2 linked regions of the Coturnix japonica genome follow. The protein of the gene in region 2 purifies or fractionates together with the protein of the main gene of each other region. This does not show direct contact. Links are inferred from orthologs where the notes say so. Each region holds a gene or a part of one and is shown on either strand. Other genes may lie near its edges.

Region 1 (3,323 bases), on a different chromosome or scaffold from region 2:
CCAGAGAAACCTGGGCATGTCCATGAGGGTGGAGCGCTCCACGCTGGACCAGGTGAAGAAGCGCTTTGAGGTGAACAAGAAGAAGATGGAGGAGAAGCAGAAGGACTATGACTTCGAGGAGAGGATGAAGGAGCTCCGTGAGGAGGTGAGTGTGGGCAGCAGCTGGCAAAGCTGAACCCCTGAGGAAAGCAGCCCTGGTTCCTTATCCTGTTTAACAAAGATCTTGTACTTGGTAGTGTGGGCTTCTTATCTGCTGCACTGACCGGGTCTGTGTACTTGCTGTTTGTTTTCTTAAGGATAGTTTCTGCTCTGGTCCCTGGAAATCCTTTTTCCTTCTCTATGCATGAGGATAACTTTTGATACTTCAAGCTTCTGCTAAGAGTACTGAAGCCCTGACGGTGCACCTGCTTTGTGTCCCATTACTTGTGTTTGAATTTATGTGCTTTGATAAACAGACCCGTGTGCTTGTTCCTGATCGTCGTGTGGTGTGCTGTGGTTCTGGGGGTTGCTGATTGATTCCTCCTCCATGTGGCACATTGCTTTTGTGTGGCTTTCCCAAGTGAAGAAGGGCTTCATGAGTGGTGTGCTGTGCTGTGGGATGTGTGTGGAGGCAATGGAAAGCATCGGATTCCTCTCAAATCTGGGCTTAAGTGCCAGTTCCCTGAAACAGAGATCAAGTTTATGTCTGAGAAACAACTGACAGAGCTCTGACAGTTAAGGAGCTTCTCTGCATGCTTCTCCTTCAACAGCAGTCATACAAACACCAGACATGCTGCATGTTTGTCTCCCTGCTGAAGCCCCCAGCTTTGCTCCACAGGCTGCAAGTCCTAGTGCTTGGCAGCCCCATGCTCTGCCATGAGGCCTTGGTGCTGCTGAGCCTGCTCAGTCGGGAGAGGCAGGAGACTGCCTTAGCAGTGCTGAGCGTGCAGTGGGTGAAAAAGCTATTGCCAATCTATGCATGACAACAAAGAAAGCAGCAGCAGCAGCTTTTGGTGCGGTTTTCTTCAGGGCCTGGCTGTCTTCAATAGCTGCAGAGCAGTGGATGGTGATGGGAATGGCAGGTTCAGTTGCTAAGTCGGGAGCTGGAGCCATACTTGTGTGTCGCCCAGTACCAGCCTGGCGCTGTTCCAGGGCTTGTGATCCTTACAGAGCAAAGCACTTTGATTAGTGCAGTGCAAAATCTTTGATGCCAAAACCCCCACAGCCACTTAGAGCTCAACTTCTGTTCCAGTGAGCGGCTGTCACTCTGCCGCGCTGACAGCCAATGGGCAGTGACATTCCACATCACAGCCCTTGGAACAGGGCACTTTGTGATGGAAATGCCTCTTGCTTTACCAGCAGCCCCTTCTCAGTGTTGATTCCAGGTGAAATCTCTGCCATCTGCTTGGACGTGAGAGCTGTTGATTTCACGGGGCATCGCTTCGGCTGCATCCTCTGTGTGCGACTTCCCTCCTGGGGTGGGAGTGGGTGGTCTGTAGGCAGTGGGAAACCTCCTGGGAGGCTGCAGACCAAGATTTCTGCTGGCTGTTTTATTTCTTCAGATACAATTTGGGTCATGTTGGTTGGATTTTGAGTTAACTGTGCAGTGCCCGACATCTCAAAAGCTTACCTACCTCAGGAGGTTCAGGTTGTTTTGCTGTTCTCTTCCTCGCTGCAGGAGGAAAAGGCCAAAGCCTACAAGAAGGAGAAGCAGAGAGAAAAGAAAAGGAGGGCAGAGGAAGATTTGACTTTTGAAGAGGATGATGAGATGGCGGCTGTGATGGGCTTCTCTGGCTTCGGCTCAACCAAAAAGAATCACTGAGAAGCTCTGGACTCTTTGTTGAAGCAGATTGTTTTTACCGGGGGGACTCTGGATAATTCTTTTAAGACTTGACTGAGGACTTGTATGTAAATCTCCCAGTAGAAGTTGGCCAGAGGAGTTGAAAAGCGATTCCGTGCTCTACCTGCAGAACAAACTCCACCTGTCTTTAGCTTCCCATCTCCTTCTGTGTCCTAGATCTGGCTGCTCGTCAGTGCTCTTCGGCCTTGTGTGTGCAGGGGAACGTTCTGCTGGGTGCAGTTTTGTGTCAATAAAGTGCAGCAGTTCTGTACGGATGGCATTGTTCAGAGTTATTGTAGTTGTCAGCTGGGCATCGTTGTTGTGAGGTGGTGAGATGCAGAGGCGTTGGGCTTCTTTTTGGGTCAGGTGACGGAATTGTGCCATGGTGAGCAGTGCTGTTCTGTACAGCATGAACCTTTTGGCTTGTGCTAAGCAGGGCTGGGGGCTGCTTGGAGTCTGGGTTACTGAAATTTTCCTACATATTTTATCTGTAAGGGATACTTCCCTGGTTTCCTTTGTGTTTTGTGCCATAACTTTGATATCTTTAATCCAAGGGAGAAGCTCCTCCCCAGGGCTGATCTAGGATAGAGCAAATGAAAGAACAATGTGTGCGATTTGCCCAGAATAAATGGATAGTTCCAATTGGCCCTTTGGTGGGAGTTTGAGTCCTTTGTTTTGATTGCTGCTGCCTCCTTTGAGAAGAGCTGCCGATGTCCCCTGCGGTGCACAGAGCTGCTGGTGGCCTTCAGGGGAGCTCTGCAGAGGGAAAGGCAGATCTTGCCTGTCCTCTCCCTTGGGGCTGCTTGCTCAGCTGCCAGCTCCCCGCTCTGCAGGCAGTTGCTGCCATTTTTTCACATTTTAACGTGGTTCTTCAGATGCAAGTGAGAAATGGGGAGGTGGACAGCGCTGGGGACCTGCATTTCCATTGAACAGACCAGGAGCAGACCAGGGTGCATTCCAGAATTTACCAGCCTTCATATATCACGGGCCACTTCTACCCTGTCTGCTGGCTCTCAGTGTCATTTCACCTCTGCCCTCCCTCAATCCTCTTCATTCCTGCTTTTATTTACTTCAGTCAAACCTTGTGTGACTCATTTTGGGCTCCGGTTGGGGTTTATGTTTTACGTGGCTGGGTTTTTATAGCTCTGCCTTTCTCTCCTCTCTCTTTCATGCACGTTGATGAGATCCTTGTTCTTGCCCTTCTCTGTACTTTTATGAAATTTCCGACCCGAGGAAGGCTGCAATGTGCTCAGCCTGCTCCTCCTAATACATCTCCAACAAATCCTGTAATGCTCTGCTGCTGTTTTAATTCCTTAATCTTAGACTGCTGACAGCTTCATTGCCTCAGGTCTTTCCACTTCAATTCAGATTATAATCCCCGTTGAAGATGCTATTGAAATGATATATAGCCAGTCAGATACAACTGTCCTTGGAGATTTGACCCTTTTAACTTGGCAATCCTCAGACTTCAGCAAACACTCCCTGAGCACTCGAGCTGGAAGGC
Region 2 (4,201 bases):
TTTCTCACTTGCTGACACAGACCCTGACTGCATTACCTTTGCAGTACTGGCATATTGATTCTGACATGCAGAAAGAGTTGGTGAAACTTCTGTTAGCATTCTGTATACCTCACTCCAAATGAATGTATTAGGATTACTGAAAAGCTGCAGCAAAGATGGGGATTCTGTTGCATTGGGCACTAGCATGGGGGGACAAAGTGCTATACAGACATGGGTGCTTCCTGTCTAAACCAGACAGAGCAATGGAATTGGCATCGTCTTGTTTTGGAGATACAAGGAACATTGAGTTCTTGTTGCACAGAAGGGTACAGAGATGAGAGCTGACTCCAGCTCTGAAGTCACGGAGCTTTGCTTCTCTCTCACCTTGCAGAGTTGCTGGTTGTCACTTGGGCACAACTGCTGCTTTGGGCAGCCATAAAATGTCAGTCTAAGGGTGTCTGTGAGTTATGAGTGAATAGAAAACTCTGAAAACTTCCATGTTTCATCGTTTCCAGGCCCAGGTGCTGGTGTGCAGAGCGCTATCAAATGTATTGTTGCTACCTTGGCCAAATCTTCCGGAGAGTGAGCAGCAGTGGGCGGTTCGCTCCACCAACCACACCAGCCTCATCTCTGCCCTCACCAGGGACTATCGCCAATTGAAATCCAATGCTATATTGCCACAGAGGAAAGTGCAGATGGAGGACAGTAAGTACCCAGTTTCCTAGTGTGTGCTGGCCCTACTGCAGTTGCAGTGCTGACTGTTGGAGGGAGTCATTGAGCTGTCTTTCCAGTAATTCTTTTGGCTGAGAGCTGCTTAGCACATGGGAAGGAGCAATTAGTTTGTTTTTTTGTTAGAAACACTTCCTCTATGGTTTGTAAGGGATGCTTTCACCCCAGGCTGCTGCAAACTGTTCCGTCTTCCTCAGTTGCTCAGGGAAAGTGAGTTTGTAATAGAAATTTGAATGGCACTGATTGCACTGGGAATGCTGAGCAATCTAATGCTGGGACTTCTGGGTTAGTTTATTCAGTGACTGTGTATTGCTCCAATTGTTACTTCCACAAATAGAGATTTGCAATATATTTTGCTATCAAAATAAGCTTATGTTTTCTTGACTGTTCTTTCTTAATCTATGTTGTGCTGGAAATAACGCTGACCTATGGCTTCCTTCAGACTGTGCACCTTAGTTCTCAAGCAATGAGTGCGTCTGTAGGGCTGTAAGCCTGTATAATTTAAGAATGCAAGTTGCCACTGTTACTTGGCTGAACCTATTTAAATGTTTAAAATGTGAATGTACTTTAGAAACACTTCTGACTCCAACCTGGGCTTTGATGTATGTGCTGCCTTGTGTGTTATTTTAAGTACAGCTCACATGAACTTCTCTTCATTTTTTGCCTGTGGGTAGTTTTGACATATGCAGGAAGTATCACCTCTTTTCTTTTTGCAGCCAAAGTGATCATCCATCAGACGCTCAGCGTTTTAGAAGATATTGTAGAAAGTATCTCTGGAGAATCCACCAAATCTCGGCAGATCTGTTATCAGTCGCTGCAAGAATCCGTGCAGGTCTCACTAGCCCTCTTCCCAGCTTTCATTCATCAGTCAGGTATAACCATAGGACAGGTTTAATGCTGTGAGTAGCTTTATCACCTCCCAATAACACCCAGAGCCCATCAGTGTAGGGTCATGGTGTTCATGTGAAGTGTGTGGGCTTGCTGTGCAATGCAGGTCTGTCCTGGTGGGTGGGTTGATTCAGAAGAGGAAAGGGAGATGTGGTGTCATCTACAACACAGTCATGAGGACTTGTCACACTTCCAGTGGGTGGAGATGCCCTTTGTTGTGTTCAGGCAGTGAAAAGGAATGGAGCTTTTCATGAGCACAAAAGAGCTTTCAAATACTACACCTATGATGGGCTCCTAAGATGTCCAGGTTGGATGGGACCTGGGCAAAACCTGGTGATGTGGCAGCCCTGCCCACTGCAGGAGGGCTTGGAACTGTCTGGTCTTTAAGGTCTCTTCCAACCCAAGTCATTCTTTGAGTCAATGTAACTAGGACTGCTGCTTGGCAATCTTATAGCCAGCTCTTACATTTTGTGTCTGATCACTTGCATGGGGCTGCAGCAGCTTTGTGAGGAGCCACTCATTCCAGAACAAACTTCTGGAGTCAGGTGGCATCTTGTCAGTGAAATGCCAATACAAAGACACAGAAAGGATCCAAGGCAGCAAACTGTGACTCCAGTGAATTGCTGCCTTCACTTGCATGAGGCTGCTCACCCATTTTGTGTTGGCTATAAAAGGCTGTATGAAGCAGGACCTGAGTGGTTGCAGCTTACTGTGGCTGTTCAGTAAAGCATACTGGGATTAGCTGCGGTGCAGTGCAACTCTGTGCTGAGAATCACCTCTGAAGTCAGAAGGATTTTCTCAGAGCCTCCCCCCGAAAAAAGAAAAAAAGCTGAATTCTCTCTCTTGGCCACTTCAAGCTGTACTGAGCTGTTGTGGATTTCCTTGCATTTCCTGTTAACCCTGTGTGCAGGGAGCTGCTGAAGCCCAGGCCATTGCAAGAGCTTTCTCCAAGCTGTCTGTGTAGGCAGACAGACCCAGGGCCCTTGTACTTATTCTGTGGTGTTGATGCTGACTGTACTTGTCCAAGTATTGATTTCAATTTCTAATGGCGAAGCTGCTGCTAATTTTTCAGGAATAAATGGGATTCCCTGTACAGGAGGAGCAGATACCACATAAAAGACTTTTTCATGTGTTTGAATGTTGCCTTAACGCACTCTGTTTGCTTTCCTGTTCTGCCTTAGATGTGACGGATGAGATGCTGAGCTTCTTCCTCACTTTGTTTCAAGGACTGAGAGTGCAGATGGGAGTGCCTTTCACTGAGCAGATCATACAGACTTTCCTAAATATGTTCACCAGGTATTGTTTTGTGCTGGTCACTTTTTTCTCATCCCTGGTGATGGTTTATCTTGGCCAGCTAACTAAACACATCCCAGTCCCTAAAGAAAAGAGTGTTGCACTTCTTCCTCTGCATCCAGGTTTTAGTGACCCAGTCTGTGCATGATGGCCCATGTACCTGATGTGCTGTTTCAGCTTTCCCAGAGACTTGACAGTATTGGGAGTGTGTGATACTGAACACTGGACTCTGGCATTACCTGTATCAGCCAGTGTTTTTGTGCACCCCTGTTATCCCTAAAGCTTCTGTGAGGGAAAAGCGTCTATGAGTCCTTAGTCAATACCTACCTCCCTTCCGTGACTTAATGTTCTTAGGCTGTATTAGTTGAGGAAGCTTAGAGACACTGTCTGCTTCCCTTTCAATTTGGTAGGTAAGCATTGCAGATCTCAGGGAAAGATTCCATCCAGCAACTTCATTTTTTGTTGCAGAGAGCAGCTGGCAGAGAGCATCCTCCATGAGGGCAGCACTGGCTGTCGGGTGGTGGAGAAGTTTCTGAAAATTCTGCAAGTGGTGGTGCAGGAACCAGGCCAAGTATTCAAGCCTTTTCTACCCAGTGTCATTTCACTGTGCATGGAGCAGGTGTACCCCATCATTGCGGAGGTAGGAGTGCTCTCACACCAGGTGAACACAGAGGGGGAAGTGAAGGCCTTGCTGGGGCTGTGGGGAGCAAGTGAGGGCTTTGCTTTCCAGGAGCTGTAATGTCAGTCCCAGCACAGGGAGAGTTGGGGAGTTTGGAAGCAGTGTGGGTGGAGGGTTTTGTCAGAGGTTGTTGAATACACTGAAGGTACAGACATGCTCAGAGCAGGAGGTAAAACAAAACTGGATTATGTGTTCTTAGCATGAAGGTGTGATCCAGCAGTTGCTGAGGTTGATGCCTTCCATAGAAGGAAATCCTTCATTCTGGTACCTCGGCTGCAGAGTGCTCCTGGAGGGCCACCACCACAGAGCAGGGTGCTGCCAACAAAGTAACCCAGGGCATAAGTGGGATTCCAGCATAGGAGCCTCTTCTGAGGCGTTCTTCTTTCCTCCTAGCGCTCATCTCCTGATGTGAAAGCAGAGCTGTTCGAGCTGCTTTTCAGAGTCCTCCATCACAACTGGCGGTACTTCTTCAAATCCAGTGTTCTGGCCAGTGTCCAGAGGGGAGTGGCAGAAGAGCAGATGGAGAATGAAGCACAGTTCAGTGCCATCATGCAGGTAACTCCACTATAGTAGTTTAAGAGCCGTTTCTGCAACAGAACGCGCACTGCTTTTGGCAGGGCATTAAATGTGGCT

Evidence for each region. The genes of interacting proteins can lie anywhere in the genome.
Region 1: the proteins of XPO6 (region 2) and ZMAT2 purify together in Homo sapiens (co-immunoprecipitation; 3 studies listed by BioGRID and IntAct, with this or other methods). This does not show direct contact. The link is inferred for Coturnix japonica from reciprocal best matches to the Homo sapiens genes XPO6 and ZMAT2.

What each region holds. Positions count from the first base shown.
Region 1 is NC_029528.1:15,092,333-15,095,655, reverse strand, and holds the end of ZMAT2 (zinc finger matrin-type protein 2), read left to right. Parts: coding exon 1-145; intron 146-1,657; coding exon 1,658-1,801; 3' UTR 1,802-2,466; downstream 2,467-3,323. UniProt on the Homo sapiens protein: Involved in pre-mRNA splicing as a component of the spliceosome.
Region 2 is NC_029529.1:11,409,913-11,414,113, forward strand, and holds part of XPO6 (exportin-6), read left to right. Parts: intron 1-494; coding exon 495-684; intron 685-1,424; coding exon 1,425-1,580; intron 1,581-2,777; coding exon 2,778-2,892; intron 2,893-3,357; coding exon 3,358-3,529; intron 3,530-3,961; coding exon 3,962-4,123; intron 4,124-4,201. UniProt on the Homo sapiens protein: Mediates the nuclear export of actin and profilin-actin complexes in somatic cells.